Drosophila melanogaster: one gene and its partners. The protein of the gene in region 2 interacts with the protein of the main gene of each other region in a pairwise test. Each region holds a gene or a part of one and is shown on either strand. Other genes may lie near its edges. The genes, in order: CG33080, p38b, Prosbeta1 and Mlc1.

Region 1 (5,809 bases), on a different chromosome or scaffold from region 2:
GATAATTAATCTGGGATTAATTAAATGCCGTGTCAGCACACTCATTGCCGTAAATATTTATGAACAAATAAATCCTGAGCTGCACCGAAAGTTCTTTAATAGATACTTTTCCCAAATTATCGATATGTAACAGATATAATTGATAGTAACTATTGCAAATAGCTAAACTGTTTTTTACACCCGCCATTTGTGTGCCTATCACTTTGATAATAACTGCCATTGGTCCAACACCTTGGCGTTTCCATGTGGGTAATCATAGGAATTCGCAGTGTCGAGGCGGGGGAAAAGTCAAATGAAAATCGCTGCGGAATTAGCATGGAAGTGGGCAGTAGTTGCAACCGATACTCGGAATGGGCGGTAGGTCGGGAGGAATGTGGGGAAAGGCACGTTCCACTGGCAGTGCCGACGCCACAATTGAATTACTGTCGTTCGGAGACAAAAGGCAGCGACTTTCGATTAATTAATCTAATTGCCCGATGAATCAAATGGGCAAAAGTGCCCAACGACAGCGTGGGTCATAATTGAAAGTAGCTCCAATTATTTAAATACAAGAACCGCATATATGAAATTTACTTAGTTAGTTATCGGTGGTAGTGGTAGTAGTTGATCTAATCACTCACCGATGAACTGGTCTTCTGGCGTTCCCGAACTCGTCATCGCTGTCATCGTTGGCGAAATTGATGGCCTTATCCGGCGTATTGGCCGTTGTCGTCGGCGCCGTAGTGCCCGGCGTATCCGGAGTGGCCGGTGTGCCCAGGCTGGAGGTCGCATCGTCGGCTATCTGAAAAATTAGAATTTATATAGTCAAACAGATAGATTTCCTTTTTTGCTACACTACACAGATAGCTGGATTGATAGAGCAAACAGCAAGCGATTGTAACTGAAAAGTATGGCATTTTGGTTGGGCTATACCATACCATACCATTCATATACATATGGGTTCTGGGCTTTTGACACCTGCACTTGGGCAAGGTGAGTGCAATTAGCACAGAGGCGTTACCGCAGAGAATACCCAGTCAAGGTGTCTCCCGTACAATATAACGGCAAGCCCGGAAAAAATGGCATCGAATCGAATGGAGTACGTCATAAGCTACAAGCCACACTTAGTACCTGCCTTATCCTTATCCATAGCCGCACTGATATCGAGCACAACGGCGTTGTGTCTAACATTCGGTGCTGGGTGTTGCTGATCCTCGATGGGAACGCTCGAGAGGATGAATCGGCTGTTGGATGAGCTCATTGTGGACACTCAACGATTATACCGTGCAATACTTATGTTATCACAGCACTAAATTGTGGGTTTTCAATCAAACACTTCACTGAGTCACAGAATAGGTAAAACAAAAACAAATTGTTTATATTTAATTAGGATAGTCGTTGTTCTATTAGTTTGCTGTTAACTTTGATTGACCTAGTTCGCATCGCCGATATTTTCGAGTTGCCAAATAATTATAACCGATCCGAACGACGTTAGTGCCGCGATCGCACTGTTAACCGTTGATAATTGCTGGTTCGCTATTGCCTGAATATTGTTTTTGAAGCCTCAATTTATGCGTTTTAATCGCTTCGCTCTCGCAGCCTCTGCCGCAGTCGGCGTCGGCAGCGCTACGTTGAGTGAAAATATCGACACCCACACTCAGAACAATCATGAGCTAGTTGAGTCGGCTCGAAAGAGTGCGGAATTTGATTTTGATAGAATAATCCGGTAGTCGTAAATTAATTGCGGCTACCCTGATTGGCGACGTACTGCGGTCTTGGTATATTAGCCGTACTTCATGACGAATGGCCATAAATATGAATGCACTGCAAGTAATTTGAACAAACTGAATGCTAAATATTCCAATTTAAAATGAGCTTCGTTCCAAAATCAAATGTTATTTGAATAGCTTGAAATGAAACAGAGAGAATCTGTCTAATTAAATCGTCGTGGTGTGACATTTATGTCACCCTTTCAATATTTCTGTTCATTCCACATTTTCTCACCTCTCTTCGAAAATTTATATTTTGCCTGCCATCAAAGAAGTTGCGTTTCGCATTGCATACTTTTGGGCATATTGCTCACACTGACCACACTGCGTATGTGTTATATTCTCGCTATGTGACAGTTGATTGCTTGGTCACATCACACATACGCCTCGTTGGCCTGGCCACGCCCCCTCCGTCCGCCCGTCGGCTTGTTTGCAGCTCTATAATTAGCGCACGGCATTCGTCGCTACTTCCCGACACCAGTAATGAGTTTGAGTGTTTAACACATCGAAAATAATAGACAAAAATCTCCCACGGAAAAATATCGTATGCGCTAATAATTCAGATATTCTAGTTTGGAATTCACAGGGTTCGGAATAATGTAAATATTTGTGCGAAAGATCGGCAATCAATCATATTTTTTTTGCTTCGCGCTTACATGCGTCTTTGTTGAAATGAAAAAATACAAATAAAAAACATATACTTATATAATAAGTTTAAAGATTGAGTGGTTGCCTCAAACGGCAACTCGTTTTAATTTGTACCAAATTAAAGTGTTTTTAAATGATAATATTCTTGTTAGCATAAATGTTTATGCAAATGTCGAAAGCTATGAGTTCGTATTTGGAGCACGATGCATATATTAATGGGCATTTAATGTGATATACTAATATATTGAATGGACACTTTAGAAATATATTTTGTTTTTGGATTAGTGAATGTGCTAAATTAATGGTGCCCATTTGTACCGTAGGACCATCATGTGACTATTAACTGGATTTCGGGTTTTTGGTCACATGTTTATTGTTTGCCAACTTCATATAATTAAGGCACAATTAACGTTTGTATCTTTTTTTTTTTTGGGTAACTTTTCTGTAAATCGACGAGATTCGCCGAGCGCGAGGAAACAGACTAGAGGCGATGACGCCTCGCTTAATTACGCATTGTATTTTAATTTCGAATGGGGCTTAACTGCTCAACTGGTTTGCTGCAATTATATATTTCAAAAAAAGAAAAAAAAAATGGCAAAACGGCACTCTAAATACCCTCTAAAGGTAGCTCCTTTCCAAAGATTATGTACTTTACGAATGAATTAAACCTTTAATTTGTTTAATGTTTTATGTACATTTTCCACTTAAAATAGTTTTGTTTTAAAGCAACTGAGCGACCGAAGCGACTTGTCTTTCGAGGAATTTCTATGGATATAAACTGGGTCGTAAACTAATCTTTTTATGTACCTCCTACGCCAGATTCTTCATTTTACATTGGTACAAAATATTCACTGATGAATTCAATGCTGAATGCTAGATTTTTCTGATGAATTCAAATGAAAAGCGTGCAGTACTTACAATCTCCTCGTGCAGCGCATCTTGCGGCTGCATCTGATGTCGCAGACGCAGTGCCTCCAGATCCAGGGCATTAATGCCCGAGGGCATGGATATCGAATTGCGTCGGAGTCCCGGTGCAAAGGCCTCCGGCGACGGCGTCGCCGACTCCGGCTCCTTTTCGTTGACCATCTTCAAATGCGGTAGATCCACATTGCGTCGCTCGCTGAGAGATTGCTTCCTGGGCATGGCACCCAGTAGCTGGAGCTGCTCCTGCTCCTGCCCATGCTCCTCCAGTCGCTCATCTCCGTCCGTGTCCGCATCCGCGAAGGCCAACTCCGGATGCTGGCCGTTGAGCGCCTGCGCGGCTCCCGATTGCGATGGTTGAGCCATTTCACCGGCCGCTTCTCAGTTCCAGCGGCTGCGTTCCAAACGCGATCGCGTTCCACTGGCGAATGAAAAAAAGGGTTGAGCGCGGCAACCGGAACCCGAAATCGCCGGCGGAGCGAAAGAGAGCGCTGGGCGGCCGGACAGAGGGAGACGGGCAGTGAGCGGGCGGCTTCGATTGCCATCGCTGTTTGCCTTTAATCAGCGCTTATCATCGGTCGGCGATAATCGCACACACCGATCGAAAAAAAAAAAATGCTCAATCACAGTTGCACATACATATATATTATGGCTAAATTAATCAGTTAACAGTGTAAATGAAAAATATAGATATCAAAAACTTAAATCATCATGCTGAGCCCCAAATAATTGTGCTAGAATTTCGGTTTTTGAAATTCAAATCTTTCAGTGTATTTGTGATCCGGGTGCGCTGGTTACGCAGATATTGCTAATACGCCCCGTATACCGAACGTTAAAAGCTATTTGAACTCTGCGACTGTTGCCCCACTGAATGAGTTAATTAAGTTCGTTTTCTAGCCATAAGCCCACTTCGTGGATCGCATTTGTTTGCCTGGCTAATTAGGCGTAATCTCGCACCGACTCCCTTCTCGTCGCTCTCCGCAAAATTCTCGACCTTGTTTTAAAGCACCAAGTGTACACGAATAAAAAGTCAAACAAAATTTAATCAACTGGCAAAGTCAAGAGCCAAACTCGTTCGCCCGCCGATCCGATCATTTCGATCGAGCAGCGCCTTTCAATAATTACATGTGTTACCTGATAAGGTAAACCAAACCAACGCAGCCACCCACATCCAAACCCAAACCCAACCCCCCCATGGGCAAACTTCTCTCACCAAGTGCTCCGCAAATTGATAATCTAACGGTGCGGAATGCCACAACTAATTCGCAATATTGTTTAACAAATTGCACTCATAAATTGTCTAGAGTGCGCAAATATTTGACGATTGAACTATATTTATGATCATTGCCACGGGAAAGGGTAGAAGTGTGGATGGTACGGGTGTATCTAGATAAGGTAACCGCTTCTGGTTAAATATATAAATATCTCAATTTATATGTAATTTTAGTAATTAAATTGAAATAATTAGATTAATAATTACTCGATATATACATATTTTGTGTGGCCACCATAGCTTGTGGTCACTGTACCGCAGACGCAGCGTATGGAGGCAATCGGACTGAATCACATATTAGAGACGGTAATAAACCGATTTAGTGAAACACAAAAAAAACAGGCATAACCAAATTTACAGCTTCTGATAAACCCAGTACAGTGGGACTAATTGCTGAAATGTATTCAAAACTAAACAAATAACCTGTTGCGATGGCGATTCAATAGACACCTCGTTTGAGAATTAATAAACCCAGATGGCAGGTAAAACAAAATTATCATGCAATTCGCGATTCAAAGTCACCGCCAAAGTTGGTCAACTCTCGAATTATGTGTGAGTAATTTCAATAAGCCAATAAGTACGACTATTTTTGCCATGGCTATCCGATGACTACACTCAATTTGAAGTCTGCCAAAAAAGATACAACTATGTAATACAAACCACTAAATAAGAGAATATCTTAAGATCTTCCACATAATTCGATTCAAAACCACCGCATTCGCACAAGAAATGATTTGAGTAATTTTGAAAAGGGGAAAAATGCAATTTGCTTTTATTATGCTTGTTTTCGATAAATTTGTTAAATTTGTTCATTTAGTTTAGTTGTACACTTAAACGTTTTGATGAATCTTCCAGTTCACATACGCATTTATTTATTTTCAATTTTTCATCTAGCTTATGTTCGCCGAGCTGTGTTGTTGTCGTATTAAATGTGTTTAGAAAACATTGATAATTTATCGTTCTATCGTACTTATTATGGAATGCATCTTCTTGTTAGCGTATATACTTTGCTCGATATATGTGGCTTCTATTTGAGACGCCCAACACTTTTGTTTGCTCAACAGCCACGAGACACAGAAAGTATAATCAAATAAACAACGAGAGAGCGTTTTTAGTTGCATAGTATTATTAATTATTATATGGAATACACACAAATCTAAACTAAGCGCTTGCTACATGTAAATGGCCAAAAAAAAAAGAGAACAAAAAAAAAATAAGA
Region 2 (5,144 bases):
AATATATATTAAAATTTATTTATTATATTCAGTTGGAATAATTTCAATTTGTGATTAAATTTTGCAGCTTCATTTTATTTATCGTTTAATATATAGCGTAAAAATAGCCAGAGTAGGACCACAGTCTTCGATATATCGATAGGCAGTGCCCTGAAATCGAAGTCTGTTTATTATAAATTTTTTATCATAATGAGCGGCTCGCAATTATTCCCAGTGAATCTGAACAACCTGAGTGCCAAGGAGCGACACAACTATATACTTAGTAATTACGTGCTTAACCTACCGAATGAGACGGAATCACGTCGGCACAAGCGAGACATCGATGTAATCCGAGAGAATCACCGCTTCCTGTGGGAGGACGACGAGTTGGATAGCGACACCCTAAGCTGGGAGCAGCGCTTGGCCCTGCGATACTACAGGAAGCTATTTAAGGAGTACTGCATCGCGGACCTGTCCCGCTACAAGGAGAACAAGATAGCGCTGCGCTGGCGAACGGAGCAGGAGGTGGTCACCGGAACCGGGCAGTTCCAGTGCGGCAGCCGGCATTGCGGGGAGCGGGATAATCTGCGCAGCTGGGAGGTAAACTTTAGGTATATCGAAAAGGGTGAGCCCCTAAATGCGCTGGTCAAGGTGGGTTCCAAATGGGTTTCCGCGATTGTGTCACTAATGGGAATTCCATAGGTGCGGCTGTGTCCCACCCACACGGATCAGCTGAACTACCGCACCAAGAAGAGAGAATGCAAGAAGCGGAGACGCAGGGAAAAGGAGGAACGGCGCGCTGAAAAGAAACGTAAGCGTCGAAAACTCGATGTTGGTCACGAAAGTTCTGGCGAAGAGGAGGAGGAGCCTGTCGAACCAGCATCCGAATCCCATCCAGAAGCCAGCAAGGAGCCCACAGACTCAAAGGATGCCACCACGGCAGACGAACAGATCTGGCAACAACAACCCGATATAAGCCGAGAGCAAGCCTCCAGAGAGCAGGAATTCGAGCGATATCTAGAGGATCTCATTTTTTAAAATACATAGCACATTTATTTGGATTCAACGTAGACACTAGTGCTCTTTTTTATAGTTACTGGCCGCTAGATGCGTTCGCTTACGAACTACGATGTACATGTACACTCACATTTACAGGATTATTCACAAGAACTGCGTGTTAAAACCGACACCAAATCTAAAGTTGAACTGGACATTAAGGCTGTGACTCTGATTGATTTTTGGAAACATTTCCGAATGGCTACATTTCAGGCATGCACCTAGTTCAATCGCTATTTCTATATCCATCGAATGCAAATCGAAGGTTCGAAAATACAATACTATTTCACCTTACGTTTGTGGTCAAAACAAATTGTTGAAATCCAGCCACTGAAGAGTTTCTAAATATAAATCGCTCTAGAATAAATATCCCCGATTGTTTACACTCGACGAGTAGAGAAATCACGACTGAGCGCATCCGCTTGAACTAGGTGTAGAAAAGACTGTTCTAATTGTATATAGCATCATTGAACGGAGAGGGATGGCGGCCGGGATTACTGCTCTTTGGGCAGGAGCTCAGCGAAGGCGGCTGTGGGCTTGAAGGCCGTCACCTCGCTGAAGACCATCTCCCGCCACTTCTCCACCGGCAGCTCGTTCTCCTCGAAGCTCTGGTCGTAGAGCGCGGCGGTCTGCTCATCGGTTGGATCGTGGTACTTCTCCATGTACGGATGGGCCAGCGCCTGCTCGGCGGTTATGCGCTTGTCGGCGTCAAGTTCCAGCATCTTCTCCAGCAAATCGATGGCCAGCGGATTGGCACCGCGGAAGATGTCGCGGAAATTGCGGCGCGGCATCACCGGCAGTGAACGAATATAGTTTCTAGCGCTCTCCGAGGAGATGCGGCTCATGAACTCATCAGCTGGCGTGCCCAGCACTTCCATGATGAGGTTCAGCTGATGGATGTGATCGGTTCCAGGGAACAGCGTGCGCCCAGTCAGCAGCTCAGCCATGATGCAGCCCACCGACCAGATGTCCGCCGTCTGGTTGTAGTGCATCCAGTTGAGCATGATCTCAGGCGCCCGGTACCATCGCGTTGCGACGTATCCGGTCATCTCGCTTTCTGCGGGACGGGCCAAACCGAAATCCAGGATGCGAAGCTCACAGTCCTCGTTTACCGCAATGTTCGATGGCTTTAGATCACGATGGATGACCCCAGCGCTGTGGATGTACTTCAGACCGCGCAGGATTTGGTAGACCAGAAACTGGACATGATCATCAGACAGTTTCTGCGTGCGTATTATGTTGTTCAGATCGGCGTCCATCAAGTGGGTCACCATGTACACTTGCTGGAACTGATCCAGCGAATCGGCGGGCTGTCCTGGATGAAAGACATCCAGCAGACCAATAACGTTCTCGTGATCCATGTGCTTCAGCAGCCGCAGTTCCCGATAGGTGCGCTTCGCATGGACCGCCGACTGGAAGGGCCTGGCAAGCTTCTTGATGGCCACCTTCGTGCTGGTTCCGCGGACCACGGCCTTGCAGACCTGGCCGTAGGCACCCTGACCCACGGGTTGCAGGTTCTGGTATGTTTCCGGGATTTCCCACTCGGTGCGATTGATGTCCAGCTTGTAGAATTTGGCCATTTTGCGCGACATTTCGTTGGGATGTTCTGTACGCTCAGGTGCGGTGCTATAATGTTATTAATCCGCTGGCTCTTTTTTTGGGCAGTTCTTCTTCTTGCTTGTGGGATTAGTTATCTCTGTTCCACACTTCGCGGCCTCAACATTGCTGGAAATGAGTAATCGTACCGGGTATTACGGGAAAACGTAGCTAATTTCGGGTATTCCTGCCCAGATTCATTTGTATCTGCACAAATAAGTTGCAACTTACATCTCTCGGATTTTATTTATGCTATTCCGCTGCGCCTACACCTTTTCTGATTGGACAACAACGCTGTCTTGGCTATCGATAACCGCAAATGGGTCCGATTTCCAATCAGCTGCTGCTCGTTTATGCGTTAACATGGTTGGCTTTAGGGTGTCCCCTACAAAAATCAGAGTCCATCGAGGCAGCGGATCAATTCACAAAGCTTCTGCGCAGTTTGGTTGACAGAGTACATGATCGTCACAAACAATAATAATAATTAGATTTTTATATGCAATTTTGATTAAAGTTTTTAAGATTATATTACAATTTAAATACTTTCAATATTATTTGGAGAGTTCTATGTATGTATTCTTTATTATCACACCTTTGAGAATAAGAAATATTTAAATTAAAAATGCATTAATTAAAGCAAAAAATGAACTTATATGAAACCATAAACTCGTGAATAATGTGGTAATATCATCCACTTCAGTAAATACTTAGTTATACGTTAAAAATATAATTTTAAGGTAGAGTACTCCCTCGTCGACCATGGACATAAAGCTAATTTTAAAGCTTAACATGGGCCGGTAACAGAAGGCGGTCAGTTGGCGCAAGCTGGTTTAGTTTCAATCGGTCGCTCGTTGGCAGAACATCGAAGGTCCGGGTCGTGACGCTTTTCGCCCGAACGTTTTTTGCACGAGTTTTTTCCATACGTATTTGTTCATTGACAAAAACTCAAGCTGCGCTCTGTGCGTGCGTGTGTATGTGTGTGTGCGAGTGAGTGTGTGTGTGCTGGCGCGTCTGTGTGAGTGCGGTGCTTTGTGTGCAGAATAATTTTTGCAAACATTATGTAAATGCGCAAATTAAAGTTCAATCGACGCCCGTTTTGAGTACGAAACCAGATCGCCTTGCTTTAAGTGCCACGGAGCTACAGTTTCTTTTCGTACCCAATTTTTCAAAGATATACTCCCTCAGTAGGCAGGCACGCACACAAACATACACAGGATCTCAAACGATCCCCCGGATATACCTTTACCGTTAGGAAAATTCAAAATGGCCACGACAGCGGCCGCAATGGCCGCAACGAGTGTAGTTGTTCTGGATCGCGGAAACAATACAACCTGCACCATCAACTTGCACGGTGAGCAGAATGTCTTGAAACAATGATAAACAACAAATGAATAGCTGGCGAACAATTAATCATAATTAAGAAGACACCACCAGCACTTTGCCAAAATTTTGTTGGCGTTATTTTTAGCGGATGATTGGCGCTTAGACTCTTCCGAAACCGAAACCCGTTTCGCCCCCTATTCTCGATGTATTCGCGACCTCTGGAGGTTATCAATTCGTTCTGGAAATAACCTTGTTTTTACCTTTCGCTGTTCTACGCACCAGCCAGAGGGCCTTTGCTATCTTATCAGCCGAGATCGTCGCAATTTAGGCGCTATATGTACATATATGCCCCCACTCGATCCAATCGCTGGGGATCAGTTGGGTTTCGGTTTTGGAAAAGCTTAGAGCTTGGAGTTTGGATCTTGGAGATCGGATCGATGCGGCTCCTACTCGCAGCACATTTCGATTAGGCGTCATATATATGTATATGGTTCGTACATATATGTATACAGGTCCCTCTCTATGAGCACCTATGTACATATGTATGTATGTGAGCTGGCACTGGTGTACCCAGCGTACTTTCAACAATTACGACTGCCTGTGTCTGGGCTGCCCACGTTGCTTTCCAAGTCGCAGCCGTTTGAGCAACAGTCAGACGGCCAGAGACACAACAGCGTTTGGAACAGACAGCATATCGTACACCGGAAGAAATAACTACATATATATCTAATGGAAATTCTTGAGATCTTCATAGTTTCTTATCGGAAAGAGTTTCAGTGGCTAAGGCATTAAGGATTAAAGATCTTTACTAAATTCACTTGCAATGATTTTCTTAAAGATATTTATATGATCCCATGTATATGATTATTTTTCGTGTTCCACTTACTCTTCCTCTTCAATTAAATGGCCTGTGAAAAACTAAGATATATACTTAAACTGATGCATTGTTTTCCTTTCAGTGTATCTTATCACATGTAATTCGAACAATGTTAATTATTAGTTTTCGGAGGAGCTTTAACTAAACTCGACACCAAAGTGTTTCCAATCATAATAATCAAGGTGCCAGAGCAGTGGCTACGGCCTGTCGAAAGCCCATCGCACATTGGGGCCAACTGAGCGAGATTTTGGGGAATAGCAGCAGCTCCTCCCACGCAGCCAAGTGCTCACCCACCCATTGGCCGTAGGCCATC
Region 3 (4,366 bases), on a different chromosome or scaffold from region 2:
CAGGTGCTGGCCTTGGACAGGTGCTTATCCCTCACCTAGTGCGTTACCTCTTGGATAACCACGGCTTCCGCTACGCAGTCCTATCCATGTCTTCCCTATCACTATTTGGGGTAAGTTAAGAATATAATATTATGTTGATCCAATGCTTACAGCCCGAGTACCTTACAGCTTTTTGGTGCTGCCTTCTTGAAACCACTAAACCCACCTGCCAAGCACAACAACCGCAAACACATTCGACTCCTGACCGAGGCCGATGGGGAAAAGACTAGTCCCCTTCAGGTGGTGATTGTTCCGACTAATCAAAGCAAGATCGAGCGTAGCCCGCCAAATGTGGATACTCTGTGCAGCCGAATGGGACAGCGGTTGGTACAGGCAATGGATCTGGAGCTGCTCAAAGATTTAGTATTCTGGAGCATCATTGTGGGCATGGCTCTAGTCTATACGGCCACCATAAACTTCACGATGATCTTTCCTGGTTTTCTTGGACAAACGGCACAACTTAACAGCCAAATGGTGGCCTTCTGCATGTCCCTTGTGGCTGGCGCCGACATTGTGTTCCGTTTGCTGCTGCCCATCGTCACAGATCACCTTAGAATACCCTATCGCGTAGTGTTCCTGATCGGCATTGTTGGACTCTTTGTCGCTCGCTGTGTGCTTGCCGAGAATCAAACGCTGCCCGTGATCATCACCATGTCTGTGTTGACAGGCATGATGAAATCAGCCACTGTAATCAACAACAATCTCACCATATCGGCGCATTGCCGCTCGGAAAAACTGGCCGGCGGTCTGGGTCTGAGCATGATGTCCAAGGGCGTTATTGTTATCACAGTGGGCCAGCTGCTGGGATGGGTGCGAGACTACGCCGACTCCTACCTAATCTGCCTTTATGCTCAAGGAGTCATTCTGCTGGTGGTGGTTCTTGTTTGGACACCGGAGATATTGTACCGCCACCGCAGGCAGCGATGTGCCACCAACAAGTCCATGGAGACGCAGTCTATAGACGCAGCTGAAGTGGCCAAACTCAACTCCTAAATCTCTGGTCACTACCTGACTGGATAAGAGTTTAAGCGAAGGATATCGGTATTGACTGTCATGTGATAGGCGATGAAATGACTTCCCCGTAGGGAACATTCCACTCTCGCCGCAGTAGTTATCTGAGTTGTGAGGAAGGACCAGTGTCAGGAACAGCACTATCTGTATGACTATGCATCTTAGGTTTAGGTTTTCGATTATTTATTACCATTTTAGCCCCTAGACCTAACTTTTGTACTGCCATAAGAGCCAAAATACAAATTAAAGTATGCATATTACAAAAACCAGGTTTATTAGCATGAGACGAGTTTGCAACTCTTTCTCTGATCGATCTTACTTGGGTAGGTATACTATTTATTCCGAGGAAATGAAGCTGGGAGTGCTGGAAACAGCCGATGCGCCCGATTCTGTGTTGTAGAAGATGCGTCGCTCGATGCCATCCTTGGTGATGATGCCAATGCGCACCACACCACCGGAGCTGCCATCGTGGTAGATAGCGTGCTGGACAGCTGTTGGAGGAGGTTTAAATGGGATTCGATTGAAGGGAAACTGTTTTGGTTTTTTTGGGATTACCTACCCTTCTTGACGAATGTAACGCAATCCTCCAGCGCCATATTGGGGCGGTAGTGCTCCCTAACAAATCCGTAGATAAAACTAGATCCCGATCCGCCGATGGTGCAGGACTCGCGGGTCAGCATGCCGCCCAACGGGATGCTGTACACCTGGCCGCCGCGCTGCTCATCCCACCCAGCCACAATGATGCCGGCAAGCAGGGACTCGCGGTAGCTGTAGCAGTAATTACGGAACTCTGAGGCGGCCTCGAACACCAGAGCATCCTTGTTGGTCTGATTCTCGTGATAGTTCAGCGAGTAGGCCACAATGTCGGCAATGGCCTGGGTGTCGGCGGCCGAGCCACTGCGGCAGCAGTACACTTTGTCCGTGATGCGGGTCAGCTTGTCGGTGACCCGATTGGCAACATAGGCGCCCGAGCTGGTGCGCGAATCGGCTCCAATGACCACTCCGCCATCGAACTCCACTGCCATAATGGTGGTCTGCAAATAGGTAGGATTGTGCTCTTAGTACGAAGTTATGTGGCTGATGCTCTTCATACTTACACCAGTGCTGACCGGTGTGTCGGTGAAATCAAAGTCGGGCTGCATATTGATCTTTAAATTTGTTACAATTCAATTTACAATTGATATTTGTTGAAACGCCGCACGAACACGAAATGACTGGCTTGTTTTGGATAAGTGTTACCAGATGGCGATGTGAAATGAAATGCTTCAAATGAAAACATACACCTTTCGCACTGACAACAGTTCAGTAAAGTAAAAACGAAGTGCCAGCAGCCCTGCTTTGCGGTATATCGATAGTATCGATGTGGGTTCATTGCACATGTTGAATTTGTTTTGAATATTTGTTTTCTTGAATTAAGTCTAAAATGGCATACGTTGCACTGAGCGAAGCTGAAAAAACATATATTCTACACGGCGTGGAGGTGTGTTAAACGGTTATGCAAGAAATATAGTCTGTACCTTAAACTATGCGTTTCCAGGATGACTTTCGTTGCGATGGACGTTCACGACGAGATTACCGGCCCATGGACCTGGAAACTGGACTGGTTAGCAATGCCAGTGGATCCGCTCGCCTTCGGCTGGCGAACACAGACATACTGGTGGGCGTCAAAACCGAGATTGATGTACCCAACCCGCTGACGCCCGAGTTTGGTAAACTGGAATTTTTTGTGGATTGGTAATGATGCAACTGAAGTTCGAAGAATATGCCATAACATATATATTTCAGCTCTGCTAATGCCACGCCGGAGTTTGAAGGACGCGGGGGCTCGGATCTGGCCCAAGAACTTATTCTCTCCCTGCAGAACGCCTACGAATCGCCATTGGCCTTCAACTACCGCACGTTGTGCCTCATTCCGGGTCAGCAGTGCTGGAAGCTGTACATAGACATCCTGGTTAGACTCTAGTGTGCTTAATTATACCGAAAATGCTAATCCCTGTTCTCGCAGATTCTGGAGTGTGGCGGCAATCTACACGACGCAGTGTCGCTGGCCGCCAAAGCGGCTCTGTTCAACACAAAGCTGCCCCGGGTGACAGCCACCATGTTGGATGCCGGCATCACAGACCTCATCATATCGGACAATCCGTATGACTGCACCCGCATCGGCATCGAGACGGTTCCGCTGTTGGTCACAGTTTGCAAGATCGGTGATTATGTCCTGGTGGATCCTTCGGCGGAGGAGGAAGTCTGCAGCACAGTGAGCATGGTTGTGTCAGTTTCCATGCGGAATGGACAGGCATTCCTTTCGGGTACACACTTGACCGGCGGCGGAGCCATGCACCGGGACACCATGCGCAACTGTCTGGAGCTGGGTCTGGCCATTGGCGAGCATCTGGACCGGCTGCTCACTAAAATGCTAAATCTGGAGCAGCAGCGCGTCGGACTCAAGCGACCGCAAATAGTAGGATTTCTTAAATAAAGCGGCAAAGTCTTGTAATGAAAATTTACTATTTAAACGATCTGACTCTGACTTGGAGCTCGGCGCTCCGATTAAGCTTAATACTAAAAGCTATCTGGTGGCCAACTACTACTGGTCCTTGCGCTTCTTCGCCTGCCTGACGGCCGGAGCAGGCTTCTTCTCCTTGGGCTCGGGCTGCTTGCCCGTTAGCAGTGAAGTCAGCATTTCGCTGATCTCGGGCATATCGTTGCCCATCTGTGGAGCAGAGCATGATTCATATAATACTATAGTGCTGTGCTATACATGATCCTCACGGCTTACCTTTGGGAACTGCAGATTGTCGATCTCCTTCTTTGTCTCGGGATCGTTGATCATCTTGGGCAGCACCAGCATAAGGAGCAGAGGCAAGACCATCATTAGGACCATGGGGCTGAACAAGAAGTCGGTGATCTGTGTGGGTCAAGAGCAAAAGTTAGTTTTGTGATTCTTCCGTTGGTGGCAATATAATGATGCACCTTCCACTGCTCTCTGGTCTGGAAGTATTTAAAGGGCATCAGTGGCTTCACGCGCAGGGGATATGCCACCTGCATAATTTGGGCGGGCTGCACAAAGTTCACTTTGCGGGCGCGGAACTTGCCCTTGGGATTGATCTCGACGCGCACCTGCAATTGAAGAAATTTTTAGTGATTCTGGCATCATATTGAATGGATTCCCTTAACTGACCGGCTCATAGAAAACATCCGGGTGGTGGACATCCAGGATATAGCTGCCGGATGGCACTCCGCTGATCATGAACTGCCCATCCTCGCGGACGAATCCCTTAAATTCGCCGTCGTTGATGGAGAGCGTAATCTCTGTGTG
Region 4 (6,514 bases), on a different chromosome or scaffold from region 2:
CCTTTTTGATCCTGATTAGCCCTCGCATTTGCTGGCTTCTGTTGCAGTTGCTGTTGTTGCGGCTGCTGCTGCTGCAGCTGATGGGGTGGTGGTTGTTGCTGCTGCGGTGGTGCTGGTGGTGCGGCATTTGCTGCTGCTGCTGCTGCTGCTTCCTGTTGCAGCTGCTGGTGGGGCAGCGGTGGGTGGGGGTCGCCTAGTGGTGGCACAGCATCCAGCAGTGAGCTTTTCTCCAGGACATCCGCCATATTGAAAGTCGAACGAGTGTGTGTGTGGTGTGTCTGTATTTGTTGCACTCACGGGAAAACTCGAAAAGGACTACAGATCTGTCGGTATTTTTCCTGTGTGTGTGTGTGTGTATCTTTGGGCTAGTCCTTTTCACTTGGAATAATATATTTTGGGTTCACTTTCGATTCGAGAAATGCTCGCGGAAATATATTTTGAAACGGCGTAAATGACAATATTTATATTTTGACTTGGCGCACTCACGCTCACTTACTTCACTGGCACTCTGCTAATTTATTTGGATTTTTGCTGGTGCAAATTTTTAAAAAAAGCGAGACAGCTCCCGCTCGGTCGGCTTGTCGGTTTGTTATCTCGATTTCAACTGATTCGTAGTCGTCGTATTTAACCGAAACTTTTCTGACACTTTTTTGATTCGACGTCGACGCAAAAGCTCAGCGGAATCTCAACCCCCAAGCTATTTTTGTGATTAGTTTATAATTGTTATTGTTGACTAGACGAGGAAGGTAGATACCAGGATGCGGGTATTTCCACCCCTTCTTACACTTACTATTTTAATATAATAAATAAATAATAATTACGAAAGTAGAGACAAAAACCATATTAACCAAGCTCTAAGCTTAACAAACATTTCGAAAGCTCTCTCTCGTTGAGAAAAAGCGAAAACGACATTTTAGTACACGGTATTTTAGTCTTTCGCCTGCTTCTCGTTGGTGGTTTGTGTCTCAGCTGAAGTATTGCAGTCTGCGGCGAAAATATCTAGATATTTCTTTGTGGATTCAGTATAAGATTTTTAAACTTTCTCTATTACTTTTAGTTTATTAAACAAGTCAGCCACATCTTGTATTAATATTGGCTGCCTATATAGCATAATCCCAAATTTTCCACCACCCTGATCTTCTTTTATATTGATTGTGCAACACCTCATCGGCCGCACAATTATTCTTAGTGTTTATTTAAATACATTTGACTTATTTCACTTTCACACATTCACTTGGTAAATTGAGAACGCAAAAAGGCCACAATTTACACATTTGGCGTTTTGCTAACTGCCCTTTTTGGACGCTTTCGGATGTTGAATTTGCCTAAACATTATATTATTTGCTATTTGGTTTATTCACGTCTCATATAAAATAATCATTAACTATTGCTTTGCTTTTGGCTGAACCAACAAAATAATTCATAACAAAATAATGTGCACAAAACTTTGAATATTTTTCAGTTTTTTTGTTTTCGTTATTTTATAATTTAAATTTTTTTATTTTTTAAAAAATAATATTATCTTGAAGTTCAATTTTGCAGTTGTAGTAGCAGAAGTAATTTTTAATTAAAATAATATACGAGAGAGATAGAGAGAGTTAGCGATGAATATAACATCTATGGAGAATGGTTGTCGCTAAAAGTTTGTTGGTGTTGTTGTTGTTGTTGTTGTTGTTTGTTGGTTGTTGTTGAAGCTGTTGTTTTCAACTATTTTAGCTGATCTGGTCTGTCACACATTCTGGCGAGGAATGCTGTGGAGTAGACGAAGAAAAGGGCCATATTAGCAAGGTATTCCCCAAATTTGTTGGACAAGTAGACATCCAGAGATCGGCGAAGTGGCCATGGGCTCCATCCCTACTTACTGTTTAGTCGAAGACGACAGGATCGCTCATCAGGCGCTGGACGAACTCTGTTTTCATTCAATTTCAAGTGGATCGGCGACAAACGGCGGGTAAACAAGACGCAATCACCGTGCAGAGACCATACGTTTGACATTCGGGAGTTGGTCGGTTTTTTTTTTTTTTTGCGAGTGTAGTGTTGGAGGAATGGACACGCAAACATGGATACACGCATACACATATTTTTAGGTTTGTTGGTGTTTTTCAGGTCGAGTTGGTGGTACAAAGTGCACAGTGCAGAATGGTGGGGATTTTTTTGGTTTGTGCGCAGACAAAGAGTGACATGTGGAATAGACAAACGGCGTTTACAAATCGTATATGCACAAAAAACATTAGATGAGTATCGTCCATTGAACGAATACTTACGAGAGTAGGGGATAAATCCTTCATCATCCTCGGGATCCATGCAGTCAGCGAACAGGGTCTCCACCTGCTCGTCATCCAAGCTCTCACCTGTAATGCACACAATGATTTAGAGGGATATCCCAGGATATATGCATGTTGATTACTCACCAAGCGCCAGCAGGGCGTGCTGCAGCTCAGCCAGCAGCATGGTGCCGTTCTCCTCCTTGTCGTAGAGCTTCAAGCACTCAATGAAGTCCTCGTAGCAGCCCTGCTCCTTCTCCTTCTTGACCTGTGAGTAGATGGGCAGGAACTCATCCAGCTTGATCTTCTTCTCGTTGCGCTTCTTGGTGCCGCCCAATTTCTCGATCAGCGCCAAGGTGGGGTTCAAGTTCAGAGCGCGGAGGGCATCACCTAGGTCGACGGCATCAATGCCCTCACCGGGGGAGCCCATGACTTCGAAAACGAATTCGACATCTGCGCAAAAGGAACTCGATTAGCATTTACATCTTCATGTTCATGTTAGTCGATCAAACGTAAATCCCATCAAATTTTTGTTTTTATTCGTTTCATTTTATTATGCTGCCTCATTAATTGTTTTTAAAAATACTTTAGCAGAGGTGGGTGTTGACCACCCTTTTTATTTTCGAAAACGGGGTCGATGTGGTAACCCTGAAATTTCTGGTACGCACATTTTTGGTCATCATGAAAATCTTGACATGGCTGCTGGGCATTGCCTACTTAGTGTGTGAGTGTATGCGTGAGTGCGGATCTGGGAGAGTTGCCAGCCCCGAGAACACACTACGTATACGTAATCCGACACCCGAACCGAACGCCTTCGCCCTCGTCTGCGCTATATACACAGTATATAGGCGTATATACACACACAAAGTCGCATAGTTTGCTCATCTCTTTCGCTGTGCGTTTGATCGAAAATAAATCTAAAGAAATAACTTGGCCAAAATTAGATCTCTAAACGAGAAGCATTTCGGCTCGAAGACGAGGATCGCGCGTTCGGGTTCGCGACATATACACACACGATTTTCATTGTTTTCCGCGGCTTTTCTATAACGCAAATCAAACTTAACTTTGCACTAGATTTTCTCTACCGGAATTGTGTTGGCAACCTTTATCCGTTCTGGTTTTGGATGGTCGATCGATGAAAATAGCTCAGGCGATGCATATAGACGACAGCATTCCTTAATGAAAATTTTCCGCATAGTGTTATATATATAGGCATGCGTATATGTATGCGATATATTCCAAGTGATTACGAAATATGTTCACCGACTTTTGTGTACTTTTTGTTGTGTATCTCACACGCGCACATTATGTAATCTGTATTTTTATGGATATTATAATACTTGTTTTTAGTCCTTTCTGCTGGGTTTTCCGTTACCTCGTTCATTTAATATGTTGGTTTAACTTTGATGGATTTCGTTTGAGGTTAAAGATAATCCTTTTCGTGCGGGGTTTTAACTTACTTTCAACTTCACGCTTTGGAACATCAGCCTGTCAACGGAATCGAAAAAGATTTGAGAGTTTGGCATTAGTTCGAGTGTGGAAAATCTTCAGTTTTCAGCTGCTGCATATATTTATGTACATCTATATCACTGGATATTGGTGGAAGATGTGTGAAGACTCCTTGGCCGACTGGGCACTCACCATTTTGTCTGTTTGATGCGAAAATCAACTGTATCGCGGATGAGCTCGGTCTCGACTGAACGTTATTCGTCAGTGGCAGTACGGCAAGGTAATTCTGAGGTGAAAGCCAACCAGCCGATCGCCGAGCACTCAGACACAGATACAGATACATTTACAGCTATAGCTTCGAAAACGAATTCAAAAACGAATACGAATACGAATGGATGACGAAACGCTCGCTCTTTTCCTGCGCAAGGCTATACACACACCAAAATATATGCTGTAGTATGTGCGATGGCAAGAATTTACTTTCATCTTGGGGGAACTTTTTCGAATGCCACTCTCTTTTGGGATCCCATGGATCCCAACGACCACCAGATATTGGGAGGCTCTCCTATGGAGCCAGAGCCATTTGTTGTCCGCTCTCTAGCCGGGCTATTTTTAAGCATTTTGTTTTTTTTCGGCTATTCTGTGAATATTTCTTTTTATTTCGTTCGTGAAGGCAAAATAATAATCGCTTGTGGCATTCCCAGCCGGATAGTGTTGAATATCATTCGATGTTACAGATGATTTTGCAGATAATATAATATTTTCTCATTCAGGCGGGAGGAGAATGGGTTTGAGAATTGATTGTTTAGCGCTGCGCAATAGATTGAGCTTCCATGCTGGGGTTTTACGGGGTATGTTTAGATGTTTAGATGGGGCTATGGGGCTATGTACTATAAATGTGGCCTATACATGTATATATTTATACACTCATCGACCCTGATCGTCTTTTTGGCAAACGTACGTATTTCTCAGGTCTTGCCTGTTATCATTCGAAATGTTTTGTCAGCCGGTCGTATGTGGGGGTGTTAAATGGCCGATTTCTTGTTTGTCCGCTGCCAGAACACCTGAACACCAGCCTTTTTCAATATTTATACACTATACATGCTCCAAAAGCATACTATTCCTCGTTGGCATCTCATCTACATAGAAGGCGCATTACTGGCCCCTCAGGCGCCTTCTTGTGCCTTGTGTGTGCCGCCTGTACAACATTTTAATGCGTGCTATTTATAAAAACTATGACACAGATACATGAAGCGTATTCAGAGCAAAAATGTACAGCAACAACTAAATGCTCGAATTGTTTGCATAGGCAAATGGTGGGTGGTAGGTATATAATGACCGATCAAGCCTGAAGGGTAAGCGAGGTGCTTAAAAGGCGGCAAATCTGGCAAGGAAGTGGCAATTAAGCCAAGCAGGCCATTGGCTTTGCCGGCACATCCATTTCCATGCACCCATGTCCTTGACTTTCTATGTAAATGTAGATGTACACACGTCCATGTTCGTGCCATCGGACAGGTCCTTCTTTGACCCAGTTTTGAGCCCAGCTGTGTGCCCAACTTCCGGCTGATGCTCATCAGACCCACTCTCTGGGCTGTCCTGTCTCGTCCTATCTCTCAATCCATTGAGTCCTCGGCTCGGCTTTTGGCCGCGCAGCCTCCCTGGCCTTGTTATTGTTTACTCCTTGGGGCACCACCTGTTGTCAAGCGGGTAACTGGTGCATGAGTATTTAGGCCGATTTGGTCCTTGATTGAACATCTGCTATCAGCAGCCGATTGTTGCCACGAATCTGCGCAGATTAATGTGCGCAAGTCATTGATAAATAGCCCCTTGAGACTGAAATTGTGTGCTTGTATTTATAGAACTCATTTCTGTAAACAACATTTACACTAAGGGCTTTTTGTGCTGGTAATCAAGTTATTTAAAATATATCTCAAATGCTTATCTTAAAATAAGATACAGAAAGAACTTGGCAAGAACTTAGCAAGGATAAAGCGTGCTTAATCAGCTAGAAGATTAATTAATGAACAAAGGCTATGGATTTAATTTCCACTCAAGTCCGAAAGGGACAGTGACTTATTTTTGGCCATTACTACTTTAATACTACACTATTTATTCGCAGTCGCAGTCCCAAAGACTCGTAGACAAAGGAGTACTAATGGCCACCCCACGGCGTATACGCAATGCCCATCCTCAGGCATTTGTTATCATTGATAAGTGTGCTTCGCAAACAGGGTGTCCCGATGGGAGAGTGTGTTATGGCATGCCATAACAAGTGCAAGGACACCCCTTACACGGAGAGCAGCCTTTTTTCCCGTCCATTCAGTGCGTATACTTAATACTGAGTGCGGGTGGTTGTACGACTCTCTGCGTTTGTGTGTGTTTCTCGGCAAAATATCCTGTATACGCACTGCTGGCCTGCTGCTGTCGGCATTGGAAACGATGGCAAACGGAGGACGCGGCCGGCTGAGAGGATAACAACGACGGGGAGCTCAGAGCTCGTCAGTTAACGACGCTTGTCTCAGTTGCATCCGAACGCTTCAGCCGTAAACGTTATCCGAAACTGGCAACGCGCAAATCAAGGTAAGCCCTTGCAGAACTAAAAAAAAAAAAAAAAAACTACTCGTTAGACAACAGAAAAAAGGGCAAAAACGGAAAAATACACAAATTGAAATCAAACAAAAAGTGCTTCAGTGTCCCTGTTCGGTCGCCAGCCCATGAAAGGTTCTGCAATTAGTGACGACTGTCCAAGGAGCCCAGCCCAGTTGGTTGAAGTGAAGCCATTTCCACTGGGTGCGGCACCA

What was found.
Region 1: the proteins of p38b (region 2) and CG33080 interact in a two-hybrid assay, tested with the Drosophila melanogaster proteins (one large-scale study listed by BioGRID).
Region 3: the proteins of p38b (region 2) and Prosbeta1 interact in a two-hybrid assay, tested with the Drosophila melanogaster proteins (one large-scale study listed by BioGRID).
Region 4: the proteins of p38b (region 2) and Mlc1 interact in a two-hybrid assay, tested with the Drosophila melanogaster proteins (one large-scale study listed by BioGRID).

What each region holds. Positions count from the first base shown.
Region 1 is NC_004354.4:5,714,032-5,719,840, forward strand, and holds the start of CG33080 (uncharacterized protein), read right to left. Parts: upstream 3,748-5,809; 5' UTR 3,684-3,747; coding exon 3,315-3,683; intron 1,442-3,314; exon of another isoform or gene 1,241-1,441; coding exon of another isoform or gene 1,115-1,240; intron 782-1,114; coding exon 621-781; intron 1-620.
Region 2 is NT_033779.5:13,778,483-13,783,626, reverse strand, and holds p38b (p38b MAP kinase), read right to left. Parts: upstream 2,939-5,144; 5' UTR 2,863-2,938; intron 2,761-2,862; 5' UTR 2,628-2,760; coding exon 1,530-2,627; 3' UTR 1,018-1,529; downstream 1-1,017. Other genes in the region: CG16890 (uncharacterized protein), read left to right, coding at 190-630, 682-1,017; CG9008 (uncharacterized protein), read left to right, coding at 3,895-3,982.
Region 3 is NT_033778.4:16,012,505-16,016,870, forward strand, and holds Prosbeta1 (proteasome beta1 subunit), read right to left. Parts: upstream 2,284-4,366; 5' UTR 2,193-2,283; coding exon 2,148-2,192; intron 2,085-2,147; coding exon 1,610-2,084; intron 1,542-1,609; coding exon 1,387-1,541; 3' UTR 1,301-1,386; downstream 1-1,300. Other genes in the region: CG8389 (uncharacterized protein), read left to right, coding at 1-110, 169-1,032; Rrp42, read left to right, coding at 2,474-2,530, 2,588-2,784, 2,836-3,001, 3,056-3,526; EMC7 (ER membrane protein complex subunit 7), read right to left, coding at 3,635-3,760, 3,827-3,955, 4,021-4,167, 4,229-4,366.
Region 4 is NT_033777.3:27,656,205-27,662,718, forward strand, and holds Mlc1 (myosin alkali light chain 1), read right to left. Parts: upstream 3,974-6,514; 5' UTR 3,909-3,973; coding exon 3,906-3,908; intron 3,753-3,905; coding exon 3,725-3,752; intron 2,718-3,724; coding exon 2,412-2,717; intron 2,352-2,411; coding exon 2,265-2,351; intron 1,910-2,264; coding exon 1,866-1,909; 3' UTR 1,863-1,865; intron 1,752-1,862; coding exon of another isoform or gene 1,708-1,751; 3' UTR 874-1,707; downstream 1-873.